5 linked regions of the Callithrix jacchus genome follow. The protein of the gene in region 1 interacts with the protein of each later gene in a biochemical or structural test. Links are inferred from orthologs where the notes say so. Each region holds a gene or a part of one and is shown in the gene's direction. Other genes may lie near its edges. The genes, in order: KAT2B, KLF13, SATB1, CTBP1 and IRF2.

Region 1 (4,220 bases):
AGGGGGACTGTTTTGAAGGAAAAACACAACCCTTAAGGCGTCTGGCTGGGGAGCTATACAGCATGGGTAGAGTCTGATAATAAGCACATTATGACCCACATTACATACAACAAAAAGTAGGGCACTTCTGAAGGGTCCTGGGAAACAGCCTGGGCTTTTAAAACCTGCTTTAGGAAGGCGACCAACGGTACACCATTTCAAACGCAGCACTGACATCTATGCTCCAGTCATCAACAGTGAAAACAATAGTTTTCAACAAGAGTTGAAAACACTGAGTTGAGGTTGTCTTTTTTTTTTCTTTTGAAAGTTTGAAGCCAAAATCAATATTTATTCTTTTGAATGATGCTTAATTTTTTTTTCCTGGTTAATATGCACGCTGATGGTACAATTTTGAAAACTACGAAACGTTATAGAACCACCACCCAGAGACGAATCCTGTTAACAAACTTTTTGTATTTAAACTTTTTCCACTGCACATAGTTTTTATTTTGACAATGATTTTAGGCAATCGTTCTTTGAGCAACCAGCACTTTCAAACAAAAATTACAGAGAATATTAAGTTTTTCCCCCCCCTCTGGCAGATTTGGCCCAGAAATTGCTATGGGAAGAAAGTGTTAATTATGTTAAAACACAGTTTGACAGAAAGTGTTTAAAAAGAGAAAGGGAGAACATCACGCCTTTATTTTGATGAATTAGCAACAAAGAAAAGGATTAGCATGGACGGGTACTTTTCAAAAATGTATTTTTTTTTTCCTCTGGCTCCCGCTAGGGTGGAGGAAGTTGTCTCTCCGCTCAGAGACAGGGTGGAAGAGAGTGGAAGGACAAATGACTGAGAGGCTGCCCCCTCACACTGGCGCGGGCGTGCGGGGTCGGATGGGGGGCTGCGGAGGGGGGAGGTGGCCAGCAGGTGCCTGGGCTCCAGGCCCCTACCCCCACCCTCGTCCCCACCCTCACCCACACCCAGGGATTGGCCTCGCCCCCTGGCGGGCGAGCCGTAGGTGTCGAGGCACCCGGGTGGGGGGTGCAAACCCCGCGGGCAGCGGAAAAGAGGCCGTGGGGGGCCTCCCGGCTCCGGCACACTAGGAGGCTGGCGGCCGCCGGCACGCACACCCAGTCCGCAGCCCCGAGGAACATGTCCGCGGCCAGGGCGCCGAGCAGAGTCCCGGGCAGGAGAACCGAGGGAGGGCGTGTGCTGTGGCGGCGGTGGCGGCAGCGGAGCCGCTAGTCCCCTCCCTCCTGGGGGAGCAGCTGCCGCCGCTGCCGTCGCCGCCGCCACAGCCGCCACCACCATCAGCGCGCGGGCCCCGGCCGGAGCGAGCCGGGCAAGCGGCGCGCGCGGGGGAGGGCGGGGGCGGGGAGGGGGGTGGGCGAAGGGGGCGGGAGGGCGTGGGGGGAGGGTCTCGCTCTCCCGACGACCAGAGCCCGAGAGGGAGACCCTGGCGGCGGCGGCGGCGCCTGACACTCGGCGCCTCCTGCCGTGCTCCGGGGCGGCATGTCCGAGGCTGGCGGGGCCGGGCCGGGCGGCTGCGGGGCAGGAGCCGGGGCAGGGGCCGGGCCCGGGGCGCTGCCCCCCCCGCCTGCGGCGCTGCCGCCCGCGCCCCCGCAGGGCTCCCCCTGCGCTGCTGCCGCCGGGGGCTCGGGCGCCTGCGGTCCGGCTACGGCAGTGGCTGCAGCGGGCACGGCCGAAGGACCGGGAGGCGGTGGCTCGGCCCGAATCGCCGTGAAGAAGGCGCAACTACGCTCCGCTCCACGGGCCAAGAAACTGGAGAAACTCGGAGTGTACTCCGCCTGCAAGGTACGCGCGGGCTGCTCTCGGACCGCGGATGGTGCTAGGGGCCCAGCCCGCGGGACCCCCTCCCCCTCCCTCCTTCACCCCCGCCTCCCGCCTCCTGCCTCTCGCCTCCCGCCTGGGGCCGCTGCACCGCGGAAGTGCTCTTGTCGCCCGCGCCCAATTAGCTTCTTCTTGGATAAGAGTCCTGCTGGGTTTGAAGAAGGGGGATCGCTAAGACCGAGAGCCCTTCGTTCCTTCAGCTTGAAAAGAGTGGCTTCGGCTTCCGAGCTCCCGGGCTACCCTGGGGTTTTGTTGCTCTGTAGGAGCTCGCTGGAGTCACTTTGCCGGGAGTGGAACGGTGCTCTCCATGTGGCGGGAGACCCCGGGGCAAAGAAAAATCTTTTGGCGCACTGAGTGGTCCCTTCTGCAGTCGATCTCCTCCCTTGTCCCATTGGGAGGAACTGGGTACAAGGAGTGGGGGTGAAGACTCGCGGACTCTTGGCGCTTTGGGAAAGCGAAGGGGAGGAAGGCGCGGGGCGGGAAGGTGGGCAGAGCTCGAGGCGAGGGTCTCTTGGAGCCTGGCGCCCTCGGCTGGGGGCGGAGGCACTGCCGGGCGCAGTGACAGCCCTGTCATTATTGTATTATTACTTGTTTAGTTAAAACGCTGTCCCAGCTGCTCGAGGTGTAAACAGGATTTGGCAAGGTGACAGCCCAGCACAGCGGGCACTACTGCCCAGTGTGAGGACACCTATTTCTTGCTATCCACTCTCCATGCCAGTTTAGGAACCCCGTCACCCCCAGCTGCAGATCCAGATGTGGAGGCTGTGCTCCCGAGGTGGGAGCAATGCCCGAGGCCGCGGGGCAGGCTGGCCCTGCGCTGTCAGCAGCGGCTTTGTTTTGACAGGGTGACAGCTGAGGGGGGCGGGGACTTGGCCTTGTCAGCTCCTGCGGCCTGTGGCTGAGGCAGGGAAGAGACACACTCACACACACACACACCTCCCATGTGTTCTTCCTGCCTGCTGCAAGCAGGGTCAGGTTGCCCGGTTCCAGATTCCTGATTCCCACAACCAAGCTGCAGGGGCCACTTCTGAATTGTGACATAACTATAATTTATCCTACTAGAACATCTCGGTTAGACTCTTTTTAGTACTTACAGGAGCTTCTCAGTCGCAATGGAATGTCTGTGCTTGCTCTTTTTCCACACCATATCCTCATGTTTATATTGAGCACCTCTGTGTCCTATACTGGTTCAATAAATATTTGTTGAGTGAATGTAGGATCTAGCCCACTGCTCCTCAAACGTTAATGTGGATAGGAATCTCCTGGGGAAACTGGTTAAAATGCTGATTCTGAACCAGCTGGTCTGAGGTGGAAGCTGAGGGTCTGCATTTCTGACCAACTCCTAAGTGATACTACGCTAGTCCACAGACCACGTTCCAGTTCAGAACTGGGCAGTATATTATTTGGCTCTTTGAATTCAGTAGAAAAGACAGAAACAAATAATAATGCCATGTGGTTATTTCTGAAGAAGGAATGCAAAGAAGATGAAGTTGGGAGTGTGCTTCTAAGAAAGGCACAAGCCCAGGAGTTGATGATGAAGGGCGTTAGACTGATGAGAACAGGACACTGACTGTGGCAGGCAGAAGGGAGAGCTGTGTATAGAATTAAGAACAAGGTCATGGGTATAGGGCGTACTGCTTGGGTGATAGGTACACCAAAATCTAACAGATCACCACTAAAGAACTTACTCATGTAACTAAACAACCACCTCTTCCCCAAAACCTATGAAAACACAGAAGAAGGTCAATTTCTTGGTGGCCTTGGTGTTTTGCAGCCGAAGTGGGCTCGTGTAGGAACTGTGTCAACTCAGTGTTTCTGTACTGGCTTTATTTAATTATTTTTGAAATGGAGATTCGCCCTTATTGCCCGGGCTGGACTTCAGTGGCGTGAACTTGGCTCACTGCAACCTCTGCCTCCCAGGTTCAAGCGTTTCTCCTGCCTCAGCCTCCCAAGCAGCTTGGGATTACAGGCATGCGCCACCATGCCTGGCTAATTTTTTGTATTTTAATAGAGATGGAGTTTCTCCATGTTGGTCAGGGTGGTCTCAAACTCCTGACCTCAGGTGACCTGCCCGCCTTGGCCTCCCAAAGTGCTGGGATTATAGACGTGAGCCACTGTGCCCGGCCTGTCCTGGCTTTATTTTTAATTTTATTTATTGGGTTCTCCTCACTAGCACCTGTTAAAGATTTCCTGCTGCCTGCTGTACCTTTAATATCTGAAAACTTTCCTGAAATTTTGGTTTTATCTAAAACCATGAGCATATGTGCCCTGCATTGATACCTGTGATCTTTTCAAATTTCCATGGGTGAGATGTAGCACCACTTCCAAAGTTTGAGATTTGAGTGTTTTCTGGTCACTTTTATGACCCAACTTATAGTAAGAGAAAATT
Region 2 (3,515 bases), on another chromosome or scaffold:
AGGCACTGGTTTGAGGCGTGCCTGTGTCCCCCAGGAGGATGGGGCAGCGTGCTTACTTCCTGCGGCTGCTGTCACACATTGCCACAAACTGGGTGGCTGAAAAGCAACTGAAACTCACTCTCTCGCAGTTCCAGAAGCGAGGAGCCTGAAATCAAGGTGTTGGCTGGGTTAGTTTCTTCCAGAGGCTCTGAGGGAGAATCCGCTCCCTGCCTCCCCTTCCTTCCCCTGCCCACTTTCTCCCCCTCCTCTCTTGCTCCCTTTCCCCTCTCACTGGCTCCCTCCCCTCGTCCCTACCTTCCACACTTGGGAGCTCCTGTCCAGATCCTTACCTGATGACACCCGCAAAGACCTTTCTCCAAATGAGGTCACATGCACAGGTTCTGGGGGTTATGACTTGGCTGTATCTTTTTAGGGACCATTATCTGTCCTACTGCAGGCAGCAAGGGGTTTGTTTGGGCCATACTGTCACAACTCAGTGCAAACAGGGTCTGAACCTCATCTGTCAGACCTGACATGGCTAACACTGAACGATGTATTTAATGCTGGGCTTCCCCAGGCTTTGAATGACAGTCTGCCTTGTGAATCTCCAAGAGTGGAATTACCATGCAACGTTTTCACTCTGGTTGATGAAACTTTTTATTCTGGAACTGATGAAGCTTTATACAATGATAACGTTGCTTTGAACATGTTTTGGGAAATACTGGACTAGCTATATAAAGAATTAAACACTTCATTTTATTGTTATGAAGAAACAAATATGTATTTTTTTAAAAGACCCAAGTCAGACATGTGGCTCACGCTTGTAATCCCAACACTTCGGGAGGCTGAGGAGGATGCATCACTTGAGGTCAGAAGTTCAAGACCAGCCTGGCCAACATGGTAAAACTCTGTCTCTACTAAAAATACAAAAATTAGCCAGGCACAGATGGGCACCTGTAATCCCAGCTTACTCAGGAGGCTGAGGCAAGAAAATTGCCTGAACCCAGGAGGCAGAGGTTACAGTGAGCCGAGACCACACCATTGCACTCCAGCCTGGGTGACAGAGCGAGACTGCCTCAGATTAGATAGGTAGGTAGGTAGGTAGGTGAATATGTAGGTAGATACATACCCATAACACACAGAGCTTGCAACAAAACACATGGCCTCACCAGTCCAGCCCCGCTCCCTAGAGAGCAGCCCTTCTTTTCTGATTTTAGTTGTCTTGATGTTTACGGCCATAAATGAACTGTATTCTATTGCTGTTTCGTGATATATCAAATTTAGGTATTCTCTGTTATCCTCCTGCCATGAAATTTAAGGATTTACCTCCTGTCCCTCCCCTCCAACTCTTCCTCAATTGATGGATGTATTATTTTACTTATTTTGTTAAGTATCCTTGTAATTTGAAACCTCTGTGTTTCACTTAGACATGTCCTTTTTTACTCCGAGTGCATTCCCACTTTTCTCTTAAATCCATGTTCTCTTCCGGGCCCATAGGTCCGTTGTGTGGCCTTTGTTTATGGGATTGGTTCCAAAACACTGACAGCTAGTGCTAAGCTTAGCATGACCACACTGTGTAGTTTCCATCGGCAGGGCCTGTGCTGGGATTACATTTCCTGCCGCTACCTCGTAGACTTGTTGTGAAGGAGAAGTAATAGAGCATAGGAAAAACCCCTAGACTGAGCTTGGCTTGGAGCTCCTGACTCATAATCATGTGGCATTTTAGTTTATATCTAATCTGAACCACACTTTTTTTGTATGTCTTCTATTTTTCCTGGAGTTTCTAATTGCCTCTCTTTTTTCTTTTAAACAAAGAGTAATAATGTGCCTTTACTGTGTCCTGAAGTTTATCCAGCCTTATGGATATGGGGGGTGAGAAGGGATGAGGCCAGGTAGGAAGGGCAGCCCTGTGGCTACCCCTAATGCCAGGAGGGCTGCTTTCTGGGGTGCCAGAGCCCCCCACCCTGGTTCTTCCTGAGCAGTTGATGTCATTTTTGTGGTTGAGAGTTTGCCAGGGTAAATGCTGGCCTGTCTCCTGCTCTGAGTGAGGGATGGGAAGGAGGGAGCAGCATCCTGACTGTAGCGCACCTTTGTCACCTCCCACCCCCACTGTGTTCCGCCACCTCCCCACCTGCACAGGTCCCTGATGGGGTGCTCTGCGCTGCTGTCTGTCACCATGCTTGGGTCTGCGCGAACCTGTCTCGTTCTCCTGCTCTGCCAGCCAACCCTGGTTGGCCACTTTGGGACTTGCATGAGAGAGGGAGCGGCACACTGGTTGTAGAATTCCAGGCCCTGGAGATCCCCGAGGCTGACCCGTTCATGTTACAGACTAGCCGGAGAATTGTCTTCCTGCCCTGCAGAGGTCCAGGGTGTGGCTGCCGTGAGCAGCAGGGGTGATCACAGTGCCTGGACTCCGGGAGGCCTGTGAAGCCAGGGCCTGGGCCTGTCATCCCCATGCATTGGGGACCGCTGGCCCTGCCTGGTGTGTGGTGCTTCCTGCTTTGTGGGGTACTTGGGGGGTCCACGGCCAGGAGCCTTGGCCCTGCTCCTTCCCACCCACGGGCCCTGCAGTTCAGCACCTGCAGTGCTGTTTTATCCTAGGCCGTGTCCTCTTCTTCCATCCCAGGCGTGGGCAGGAGGGCAGGGGCCCACCTTCATCTCTGCTCTGAGGGATTTGTCACAGAAGCTCTTGGAGGTGGGGCACGTGGGAGGGGCGATAAGAGACTCTGGGGTGTCGCGGACCCTTTCCCAGAGAGGGTGTGCACGCGGGGACAGGCCAGATACTGACGCCCTGCCCCTGTGCCCACAGGTGAGAGGCCCTTCGCCTGCAGCTGGCAGGACTGCAACAAGAAGTTCGCACGTTCCGACGAGCTGGCGCGGCACTACCGCACGCACACGGGCGAGAAGAAGTTCAGCTGCCCCATCTGCGAGAAGCGCTTCATGCGCAGCGACCACCTGACCAAGCACGCGCGCCGCCACGCCAACTTCCACCCGGGCATGCTGCAGCGGCGCGGCGGGGGCTCGCGGACCGGCTCCCTCAGCGACTACAGCCGCTCCGACGCCAGCAGCCCCACCATCAGCCCGGCCAGCTCGCCTTGAGCCCGCCACAGCCATGAGCAGCCGCTCCCGCGCCCTCGTGAGTCCCTGGCCTTTCCTTTTGTAATAAGAAGAGAGAGAACTCGATGCGAAGTCCACGAAAAAAGAATTTTCTTCACCTCAGGTGTCAAAGTAAATTTGTCTAAAAAAAAAAAAACCCACAAAAATTTAAAAAAACACCACCCACCAATTGCACAATAGATAGACCCACAAAGTTGAGATTCAGCGGTGTTGAACCCCCTTTCTCAGGGATGGACACGTTCCACGAGGTCAGTGAGGACACCCCTTCCTGCCGCCTTACTCTGTACATAGATTTGCACTCTGGAGTTTTCTGTTAGGTTCGGGGACACACTGGGGACAGAGCAGGCCAGCCAGTCTGGAGCTCAGCGTCTGGCTGGCTGGCCGGCCAGCCTGTGGGTCTGTTGGGAGCAGACGTGGCC
Region 3 (3,515 bases), about 1.5 Mb from region 1:
TCCCCACACTTCACAGAATGTAGGTTAGGGGTGAGTCATATCTGTTTGTCTTTCCTTTAGAGCCCCTCTCCCACCACCCTTGGGAAAGGAGAGTCTAGAGGCGTTTTCTTACCAGGCCTGCCGACCCCTGCACCATGGTTCGGTGCTGCTCCTCAGGTGAGCGGGCACAGTTACCTCTGCCAGCAAGGGACACAGAGAGGGGGTGAAATGAAGACCTGCTCCCCCAGGATTTTCAAAGGATATATAGCATAGCCATGGCCAGAGCCCACTGTTCGAGCAGATGCAGCCTTGTGCTTTGTCATGTTATGGGCCTTGTCACCATTCATCTTGTAAAGGAACTCTCCTGTGAATTTAGATGGAAGAGTTCTGGGATCAGGTAGTCATTAGTGCTCTTAGGTCCCCAATTGCTTAGGAAGCGTGTTGTCATTGAACTTGAGCTATAGAGCTTATATTTGTTAAAGGGGATGATTTTAGCTTTCTCTTTTAAAGTAAAATGCCATTGCCTTCCAGAGTCCTAAAATTCTACCTTTGTTGAATCACCTGCATTATTTTTTATATTTCTGTAAAAAAATATATATATGTGTGTGTGTGTGTGTGTGTGTGTGTGTACAGACATATATATATGTATAGCTAAAAACAATAATAGAGTTGTTTACCAGGATAAAAAAATTCTCAAGTGTGTATTAAAACAAGTTGACAGAGAGGTTCCCTTTAGGATTTCAAGCACTAAAATAACCATGAAAGCCTGAAAAACTTACTGTTTAGCAGAAACAAAAAAGCGAAAAATGTATGTTAAGTAATTTTAAAAAGTACTCATTTGAAAATGTAAATTGTTTTTAATAAAATTCCTTCTTAGAGGTATAAAAGGAAATGCATAGAGATGATAGCATTCTAATATTGTACCACTTACTCAGGTTGATTTGCTTTGCTCGTAAGAATTACGGATATCGAGAATACAGTATGTGCATGTGTCACATATTTATGTATAATTGTGTATGGAAATTATAGCACATATAGTAATTATGAAAAAGTGTCTGTATACACGAAATTTAAATCCTAATCACATCTGAGTTTACTATAGACAAAACAATTCGCTAGCCGTCGTATGGGGGATTGAACCTTTATTTTGAGGTAAGAAAAAAACTTGCAGTGTCAGCCCAGCGCAATTTGGTAAGAAATTGAGTGTGTATTAAATTGGAACTGTCTGATAGAAAAAGCGCAAATGTGAGAATCTTAAAAATTCTTTGCTTTCATGACAGATAACATGGAATAAGAGCATACGCTCATCTTCTGTTCTTCCTGGCCATTCAGTGAAACGGAGCAGAACACAAATTTCTTTCCCCACTGCTCCGTAGCTCACCTTTCTAAAATGTCTTTGAAATCCTAGCCTCTCCATCTTCATTTTAAATCTTTGTTAATTATTTACATCATAATTTGATGTGCCATCTTCGCCTTTGATGCGTATCCTTCTAGTGAAGTTTATGGCTCCCATTTTCAGAGCACTGAGTTTTCACTTCCTCCACTGATTTCTGATAAGTAAGTGCAGTAGCCCCCCATGTTATTCATTTGGGGAGCATAGCCATATTAATTCATCCATTCCTAGTTCATATCATTTTTGATTGTTTTCTAAATGCTGTGGGCCATTTAGCTGGCCTTCCTTTTTGTTCTAAGTCTTCGTCCCTATCAAAGAAGCTGTATGTGGGATTGTGACCACGTTTCCTGATTCGAGGCGGCTTTGTGTGGATCTCCACGATAGCAGAGCTCTGATTGTTTCCTTGTTTCTCTGCAGCAGCAACAACAGCAGCAGCAGCAGCAGCAGCAGCAACAGCAGCAGCAGGCGCCGCAGCCTCCACAGCCACAACAGCAGCCACAGGCAGGCCCTCGGCTCCCCCCACGGCAACCCACGGTGGCCTCTCCAGCAGAGTCAGATGAGGAGAACCGGCAGAAGACCCGGCCACGAACAAAAATTTCAGTGGAAGCCCTGGGAATCCTCCAGAGTTTCATACAAGACGTAGGCCTGTACCCTGACGAAGAGGCCATCCAGACTCTGTCCGCTCAGCTTGACCTTCCCAAGTACACCATCATCAAGTTCTTTCAGAACCAGCGGTACTATCTCAAGCACCATGGCAAACTGAAGGACAATTCCGGTTTAGAGGTCGATGTGGCAGAATATAAAGAAGAGGAGCTGCTGAAGGATTTGGAAGAGAGTGTCCAAGATAAAAATACTAACACCCTTTTTTCAGTAAAACTAGAAGAAGAGCTGTCAGTGGAAGGAAACACAGACATTAATGCTGATTTAAAAGACTGAGATAAAAGTATTCGTTTCGTTCAACAATTCCACTGGTATCTACTAATAAATTGAAAAGTTCACCTTGTACTCTCTCAGAAAACCTTTGTTGTTCATTGTTTGGCCAATGAATCTTCAAAAACTTGCACAAACAGAAAAGTTGGAAAAGGATAATACAGACTGCACTAAATGTTTTACTCTGTTTTACAAACTGCTTGGCAGCCCCAGGTGAAGCATCAAGGATTGTTTGGTATTAAAATTTGTGTTCACGGGATGCACCAAAGTGTGTACCCCGTAAGCATGGAAACAGTGATTTTTTTTTTTTTTTTAGTTATTATTCTGGAGCCTCAAACAAGCATTATAACTTCTGTGATTATGATTTTCTCTCCTATAATTATTTCTGTAGCACTCCACACTGATCTTTGGAAACTCGCCCCTTATTTAAAAAAAAAAAAGAAAAAAAAAGAGTTTGTTACTCTATTGTATGTTACAAAAGAACTATAGACTGTGGAATGCAGTTTAAAGATGACATATGCCAACAAATGCCTTGTATTATATGGCACTGCCGTAATTCAAATTTGTTTTTATTTTGGAAATAAAAGTTCACTGTAATTTTTTTTCATTCTCATTGTTACATGATTTTTTTAAAAAAAGGAAAAGAAAATGTGAAACACAATTTAGTCCTCATTATTTATTTGTAGATCCTGCAGCATCATGTTGTAATTAATTTTTTGGAAGTTTCCGTTAAATGTAATATTGCTTCTCTTGTTACCATACTGATTCTTTTCTATTTATAAATGTATTTTGATGGGCAGTAAAACAAAGTGTCTTAAAAGTTTTAAATAGAGAAAATGTGCTTTACACAGTTGCCTATAAAAAGTGCTCTATGTTATCCAAGCAATTCATACTATAAGCTTCACTCTTATTGTTGTATGCAATTTTTACTATCATGCAAATAAGCTTAGGTAAATAAAACTAATAGATCACCTTAGAAAATTATGCAATTAATGTGAAAATAATTGATGTTTGCAATGTGTCTTCCTTTGGTTTACAATCAATTTTAAAGCTACATCTGTATAAAATTTCTGTATAAAGGTGTATTTCTTTTTTATGAGTTTATGGCTATGAAAACACCAGCTATTTTGTTACAGCTGGCTGTTTTTATAAGTGTATCACAATTTTCTTTATGCAGAAATGTTCTGCCTAGGAGTGGTTATTGACTGTAACT
Region 4 (3,515 bases), on another chromosome or scaffold:
GGAGGGGGGTCATGGGCAGCTCCTGTCCAGATGGAATGAGGGAACAGGCAAACCAGGATGTGGTTTTGATCGTGCACACCCCGTGTTTGGGGTCTGGGCAGGTCCTGGCACCTTTCCTGTCTTGAAGGCAAGTGGGTGGAATGGCCAGTGGCTCCTCTGAGGTCACTGGGGCGTGAGGACTTAGAAGGAGGAGCCTGGGCCCAGCCGTACCGGGAGCCCTCGGCTTTGGGGTGGTCAGTGGAGACCTGTGCCCTGTCCCCTGCAGGCACCTGCTGCAGGCCCATTGCACCCTTGGGCTGTCCACCAGGGTGTCTCTTTTCTCTGCCGTGGGCTCCAAGAGCCGTGTTTGCAGTGCATTCTGGGCCCTGGCGGCTTGGTGGCCTCTGCTTACCTGCTGGTAGATGGGGTGGGAGACGGCTGAGCGTGCATGTGGCTGCAGCCACTGAGGACTTTACTGGGTCACTCCGTTTCTTGGTTCTGTCCTGTGTCTCCCCTCCTGCTGGCCAAATGGTCCTGGGGGCTCCTTGGTCTCCTGGGGCCAGTCTGGGGGGTGGACCGGCCAGACCCTGGCTCCAGCTCTGCCTTTTCCCAGCACCCGGTGCTCCCTGCCTGGCACAGGGTGGCCGGGTGGTGCCTGGAAGCTGCTGTGCTTCTGTGACACCTCAGAGCCCCTCTTTCTCCATGTGGCCCCGAACGAAGCTTAGCTGTGTCATACGTGAAAGGAATAATGGGTGTTAGTGGTTTTTAATCAGCTCATTCTGGGAAGGTAGGGGCACAGTGGACTTTAACAGTGGACTTTCCTCTATAGCTCTGTTTCTTGTCCCTTCAAATTTACAAATGGAAGTGATGCCAGGCAGAGGGTGGGGCGTTCTGTGTGAAATATTGGTGACCCATCGGGGATTCCAGCAGCCACACGGTAGCCCAGGCGGAAAAGGGCAGCCATGTTCCTAAAGCCCTGTGCTGCGATCTGTGCCCTCCAGTGTCACGGGTCCCTCCTGTCCCTCCGCCTCATGGAGCTGCCCTGGGGTCTCGGGATCTCGGAGGGTATGGGGGAGTCTTGGGGAATCTCAGACAGGTCTGGGAGGGTCTCAGGGGGTCTGGGAGCCCCTGTGCCTGAGGGCAATGGTGGTGGGTGTCTGTAGTCTGTGTCCACTCGTGTCAGCGAGCTGAGGCACACAAATCTGTCTTTCCTATGGATTTTTAATTCACTTTTTACAAATATCACAACATGTAGAATGGAAAGCCCTCATCGGCCGGTGCACAGTGGGCAGTGTGGAGCAGGTTGTGGCTACGGGCTGCGGTGGTGCAAGGCTGAGCACTTGCTTCTGTCTTGCAGGCGTCCGACCTCCAATCATGAACGGGCCCCTGCACCCGCGGCCCCTGGTGGCACTGCTGGATGGCCGGGACTGCACGGTGGAGATGCCTATCCTGAAGGACGTGGCCACCGTGGCCTTCTGCGACGCACAGTCCACGCAGGAGATCCATGAGAAGGTACCACCACGTACTGTCCTGGGGCTGCCAGAGCCACATGCCGGAGGGGAGTTGGGAGGGATGGGAGCATGGGCCGCAGCAGGTCTGGATGCCACTGGGACAGGTGCAGCCTCTGTCCCTTTCACCCTGCCCCATTAGGAGATGGACATGGGGTTTCGCCTGTAGCTTCTGGATTCATTTCCAGTTTTCTCCCAGAGAGCAGGTCCTCAGGACGCTGCTTTTGTTGCAGGGCCAGAGTGAATTGCTTCCCCTGGCTCCGGGCGCACAGCGGTCTTTGCATGCGCATGGGTGGTCTTGGCATTGCCCACGACTTGGCTGTGGTCCAGCAGTGGGCAGCCTTCGGGCAGCTTTCCTGAGTCGTGTTTGCTCAGGAGATCCACAGGCTCCTCCGTGATGAGAAACAGGTCGGTCTGGCTCTGCTTGTAGCCAGAGGTTAGTGATTCAGAGCAGCTTTTCCCTGAAGACAGACGAAGAAGCTGGGTCCTCAGGAGCTAACAGGACAGAGCTACAGCTGCCCAGGCTACAATCCAGACAAGCCCAGAATCTGTAGGAACGGGTGGGCCCTGCCCGTTCTGGCCTGGGGTGTTGGCTGTTCTCGAAGAAGTGGCTGAGGGGTTGCATTTGGCATTGGCAGCAGCCATGGTCTGCAGGGTGTGGGGCCTGCTGGGACAGCCATGGCCTGTAAGGTGACACCTGGAGTGAGGGTGCCCTGGACTCTGACATGCCGTACAGTGGGCATCCAGCCTGCCAACATCGGGGGAGACTTGAGCCTGGATTTCAGGGGATCCCACACTGCCTGGCCCCAGGTGCCTGGCAGGAAGAAATGGGACAGCCCCTTCAGAGGAACGTAGCATCAGCCTGGGCCTCGGTTCATTTCTACAGATCATCGTCTGGCCCAGGGTCCGTCAAATGCAGTAGAGATAACCAGGCAGTCAGGAGATGGCAGATGAGGCATAAAGCCCAAAAGCCAGAAAAGGCAGTGCGGGTCCACCAGAGCTCCCCGAGCTGACCACGGCATGGTGACCCCAGCACAGCCCTCAGGAGGAGGCCGGGCCAGACACCGACGAGGAGCTGCTGCCCCTAAAACGGGGCATGGTGCCTCAGAGGAGGTGAGGTGTGGATCTGAGACACGCCGAAGCCGAATGGGAGAACAGAGGGGCAGGTTTAGCAGCCAGGAGGGTGAGATGAGGAGCCACCCTCACAGACACTTTGGAACAATAGAGGGGAGGGGCTGGAAGGGATGACAGCAGAAGCATTTCCAAAGGAAACATGGTGCTAAAGATGGGCGCGCGTCTGCTGCGGCCGGCGGTCGCTCTGCAAAACGCTTCCTGGTTTCTCATGCAGTTAGATGTGCGCCTGTAATGCAGCCCAGTGGCCACACTCCTTAGTCGCAGAGGCTTGGAACGCACGTCCGCGGGCAGAACCGCGCGTCATGCTCCCTGGCAACTGTAATCATCACGGCCCAAACCAGGACATGCCCCAAACCAGGACACGCCCCGGCTGCCCTTTGGCAGGTCAGTGGCCAGGCAAACGCTGGCCACCTCCCTTGGCATCCTCAGCAACAGGCGGGGGGATCTCGGTAGCGTGATGGCGAGTGAAGAGCTGGTTTCAAGGGCTGCATGCTGCCTGATCTCTTCATGTTCAGGCAGAGGCATCAGCGTGACGGAAACCATTGCTGGGGTGCGGGCGGGGGAGCTGCCAGTGGGCCAGTGTGCCGGAATCTGCACATGAGCACATCACACGGGCGTGTCCACATGCATGCCCGGCCACGGTGTACACCTGGAGTCATGTGGCACCCACTTGGTTTTGACAGTGCCCTGGCTAGTACGGTTTTCTCACTGGGAGGCTGGGTGTGTGTTAAAGACACACACGTATGGAATGGAAAAGAGGCACATGGTCAACTTGGAAAGTTGTAAGTCACACTAAAGCAGGGTCTGCCAACAGATTGGAAAACTAAGGCAAAACAGAGGTTTTCTGAAATTGCAGTAATCCCAGGCTGCCTAGACAGGTTCGTATAAAATGCA
Region 5 (3,515 bases), on another chromosome or scaffold:
CTGGTAGGACATGGCCACCTGTGTGTGCCATTGGCAGACATGTTGGAGACAGACCTGGGGAGCCAGGTGTTGGCCTGGAGACATCACCCCAGAGCTACAGAACTCAGGCTTGTTCTTCAGCCCCATGGCAGGGGACAGGTGGGGAAGGGAGCCTGGCGATCTGCCTCTGTTGGGAAAGGCCTTCTTTCCTTTCTCATAGCACACTTATGAGAAAGTGTGCTAGAATTGTTAGGTCAGGAGACTTGGCATGATGACTCTTTTCTTCTCTGAAGTCGTAGGACAATCCCATCTGGACGGCAACATCGAGGATCAAGAGATTGTCACCAACCCGCCGGACATTTGCCAAGTTGTAGAGGTGACCACTGAGAGCGACGAGCAGCCGGCCAGCATGAGCGAGCTGTACCCTCTGCAGATCTCACCCGTGTCTTCCTACGCGGGTAAGCGGCAGGAGGGGGCTCCAGGACGCCTGGGAACAGGCCGCGGGGTCCTCTGGTCTAGCGGCAGGAGGGGGCTCCAGGACGCCTGGGAACCAGCCGCGCGGTCCTCTGGTCTAGCGGCAGGAGGGGACTCCAGGACGCCTGGGAACCGGCCGCGCGGTCCTCTGGTCTAGCGGCAGGGCGGGGCTCCAGGACCCCTGGGAACAGGCCGCACGGGCGGGGCTCCAGGATGCCTGGGAACCTGCCGCGGGGTCCTCTGGTCTAGCTCGGGGCTCCAGGATGCCTGGGAACTGGCCGCGGGGTCCTCTGGTCTAGCTCGGGGCTCCAGGACGCCTGGGAACCAGCCGCGCGGTCCTCTGGTCTGGGGTCTCCCCTCTCACCACCCCTTGGAGCGTAGGATTCCTCTGTCCTCGCAGTTGTTCTTCCTGGAATGTTTCATACTTTAATTTCTTGGTAATCAACATCTTCGTGGACACTTTCGTTTGCAGTTACAGGACAGGATCAGGATCACAACATTTCTTCACTAAGTCACCCATTATGTTGTTGTTTTTTTTCTTGATACAGAGTCTTGCTCTCTTGCCCAGGCTGGAGTGCAGTGGGATGATCTCAGCCCACAGCAACCTCTGTCTTCTGGGTTCGAGTGATTCTCTTGCCTCAGCCTTCTAAGTAGCTGGGGTTACAGGGGCGCACTACCATGCCAGCTAGGTTTTGTATTTTCAGTAGAGACCGGGTTCTACTGAACCCTGGCCATGTTGGCCAGGCCCGTCTCAAACTCCTGACCTCTGGTGATCCAGCCACCTTGGTCTCCCAAAGTGCTGGGATTTCAGACGTGAACCATGGTGCCCGCCTCCCATAACACTTTTATGTATGGTTAACAGACGAGATTTCTCTGGAGCAGCGGTTCATCAGAGTCTAATTTATTTGCCCAAGTAGTCAGAAACTTGGCACAGTGTTTTAATGGATTCTCAATTTGAGCAGGCTGGATAGGACCTTAGAGATGATCTCTTCCGGTTCCTTCATTTCTCTGGACGGGAAGGGGCTTGCTGAATTGGAGGTCGTGCAGTCAGAAGCGTCTGGGCCAGGACTTGACCTCAACCTTCAGACCCCGAGCTCACTGCTGGACCCATTCCATTCCACCAAGCTGACTTGTCTCTTCCACGTATTTTCTCTTTCTTTTTCTATCTAGTACAGGTTCTAATCAGGCAAGATGACTGAGCCCATTTCCAGTTCCCCAGGGACTTGGCCACATAATGACAGGAGTCGGCCTGGCCAGTCATAGGAGGAGAAACAGATCCAGTGGGTTCTTCCATTCTTACAGAGTAAAAGCAGGGCCCCTCTTGTTCACTGGCGTCACTTCCTCATCTTCTCCTCTCTTCCTGACGATCTCCAATAAATTTTGTAAAAATCAATCGTAATTAGGAAATATAAATTCTGAGTCGGTGTTATTGCTTGCAGATATTAAAAATAAAAAGCAGAGACCCCATGATAGGAAACTCCAGTTCAGCTCTAGTCAACAGCTCGGGGATTCTTCCCAGAGCTCTTTACGCGCTGCCAAATGGGTGTCCTCCAGCAGGTGCCACCCGCAAGACTGGCTCAGACCAGCGTTGGAATTAGAGTTGACTCAAAGGACCGGTTGCTTGTGAATTATCAGCTGCTAAATCTAATCTCATTTTCCCTGAACACCAACTTTTAAAAATTTTGGTAAAATACATTAACATAAAAATCACTATTTTAGCCATTTTTAAGTGCACAGTTTAGTAGCATTAAGTGCATGAATGTTGTACAGCTGTGACCAGCATCCATCTTCAGCACGTTTTTCATCTTGCAAAACTGACACTCTGTCCCCATGAAACACTAAGTCCCCTTTTCCCTCCTCTACCCTAGCCCTTGGCAACCTCTTACCTATTTTCCATCTCAATGAATATGGCTATTCTAGGTCCCTCGTGTGGGTGGAATCATAGTGCTTGTTGTTTTGTGACTGGCTTATTGCACTTAGCATAGGTCCTGGTGTACATTTACACTAGCAACGTAAGTGAAATGTGAGAATAAACCTTGGCTACAGAAAGGTTCTAATCTGTCAGACAGGATAAGCTTGTCATCAGTGATTTATTCAGCAAATGCATTTTGAACTTTTTTTTTTTTTGAGACGGAGTCTCACTTTGTCACCCAGGCTGGAGGGCAGTGACACGATCTCCGCTCATTGCAACCTCCACCTCCCTGGTTTAAGCAATTCCCCTGCCTCAGCCTCCCAAGTGGCTGGGATTACAGGCGGGTGCCACCACGCACGACTAATTTTTTTGTATTTTTAGTAGAGACAGGGTTTCACCATGTTGGCTGGTCTTGAACTCCTGACCTCAGGCAGTTGCCTGCCTGGGCCTCCCAAAGTGCTGGGATTACAGGTGTGAGCCACTGCGCCCGGCCCACATTTTGAACTCATATGTGCCTTGCCAATATGCCGTCACAAGAACTACTATTCGTTGCAAGTTTATTGTGCCCTTGGAACCCTACTCAGTACTTGGGTGCAGTTGACTATTCGTTGTTATTTTTAATAGAAACAGGGTTCTGCCATGTTGCCCAGGCTGGTCTAGAACTCCTGGGCTCAAACAGTCTGCTCACCTTGGCCTCCCAAAGTGCTGGGGTTACAGGCATGAGCTGCCACACCTGGTATGATACAGCTGACTTGTGTAATTATAATTAGAGTAACCCTGTCAGCCTGGGCACCATCATTATCCCCATTTTAAAAGTGACAAATCTGGCCGGGCTCAGTGGTTCACGTCTATAATCCCAGCACTGGAAGGCCAAGGTAGGAGGATCGCTTGAGCCCAGGAATCGGAGACCAAGCCTGGGTGACGTAGTGAGACGCCACTTCTACAAAAAATAAAAAACGTTAGCTGGGCATGGTGGCATGTGCCTGTAGTCCCAGCTACTTGGGAGGCTGTGGCAGGAGCAACACTTGAGCCCAGGAGTTCAAGGCTTCAGTGAGCCCTGATTGCACCATTGCACTCCAGCCTGGGTGACAGAGCAAGATCCTGTCGTCAAAATATGTGTGTGTGTGTGTCTAGGGCTGACGTGGGTAAA

The links.
Region 2: of the proteins of KAT2B (region 1) and KLF13, one has a biochemical effect on the other in vitro, tested with the Homo sapiens proteins (2 studies listed by BioGRID, with this or other methods). The link is inferred for Callithrix jacchus from reciprocal best matches to the Homo sapiens genes KAT2B and KLF13.
Region 3: of the proteins of KAT2B (region 1) and SATB1, one has a biochemical effect on the other in vitro, tested with the Homo sapiens proteins (2 studies listed by BioGRID, with this or other methods). The link is inferred for Callithrix jacchus from reciprocal best matches to the Homo sapiens genes KAT2B and SATB1.
Region 4: the proteins of KAT2B (region 1) and CTBP1 form a complex in vitro, tested with the Homo sapiens proteins (2 studies listed by BioGRID, with this or other methods). The link is inferred for Callithrix jacchus from reciprocal best matches to the Homo sapiens genes KAT2B and CTBP1.
Region 5: the proteins of KAT2B (region 1) and IRF2 form a complex in vitro, tested with the Homo sapiens proteins (2 studies listed by BioGRID, with this or other methods). The link is inferred for Callithrix jacchus from reciprocal best matches to the Homo sapiens genes KAT2B and IRF2.

The regions. Positions count from the first base shown.
Region 1 is NC_133518.1:58,551,604-58,555,823, forward strand, and holds the start of KAT2B (histone acetyltransferase KAT2B), read left to right. Parts: upstream 1-1,417; 5' UTR 1,418-1,492; coding exon 1,493-1,795; intron 1,796-4,220. UniProt on the Homo sapiens protein: Functions as a histone acetyltransferase (HAT) to promote transcriptional activation. Has significant histone acetyltransferase activity with core histones (H3 and H4), and also with nucleosome core particles.
Region 2 is NC_133507.1:6,651,782-6,655,296, reverse strand, and holds part of KLF13 (Krueppel-like factor 13), read left to right. Parts: intron 1-620; exon of another isoform or gene 621-2,788; coding exon 2,789-3,078; 3' UTR 3,079-3,515. UniProt on the Homo sapiens protein: Transcription factor that activates expression from GC-rich minimal promoter regions, including genes in the cells of the erythroid lineage. Represses transcription by binding to the BTE site, a GC-rich DNA element, in competition with the activator SP1.
Region 3 is NC_133518.1:57,045,570-57,049,084, reverse strand, and holds part of SATB1 (DNA-binding protein SATB1), read left to right. Parts: intron 1-60; coding exon 61-156; coding exon of another isoform or gene 157-252; exon of another isoform or gene 253-271; intron 272-1,789; coding exon of another isoform or gene 1,790-1,792; coding exon 1,793-2,308; 3' UTR 2,309-3,515. UniProt on the Homo sapiens protein: Crucial silencing factor contributing to the initiation of X inactivation mediated by Xist RNA that occurs during embryogenesis and in lymphoma.
Region 4 is NC_133504.1:191,935,097-191,938,611, forward strand, and holds part of CTBP1 (C-terminal-binding protein 1), read left to right. Parts: intron 1-1,336; coding exon 1,337-1,491; intron 1,492-3,515. UniProt on the Homo sapiens protein: Corepressor targeting diverse transcription regulators such as GLIS2 or BCL6. Has dehydrogenase activity. Involved in controlling the equilibrium between tubular and stacked structures in the Golgi complex.
Region 5 is NC_133504.1:6,985,602-6,989,116, forward strand, and holds part of IRF2 (interferon regulatory factor 2), read left to right. Parts: intron 1-272; coding exon 273-437; intron 438-3,515. UniProt on the Homo sapiens protein: Specifically binds to the upstream regulatory region of type I IFN and IFN-inducible MHC class I genes (the interferon consensus sequence (ICS)) and represses those genes. Also acts as an activator for several genes including H4 and IL7.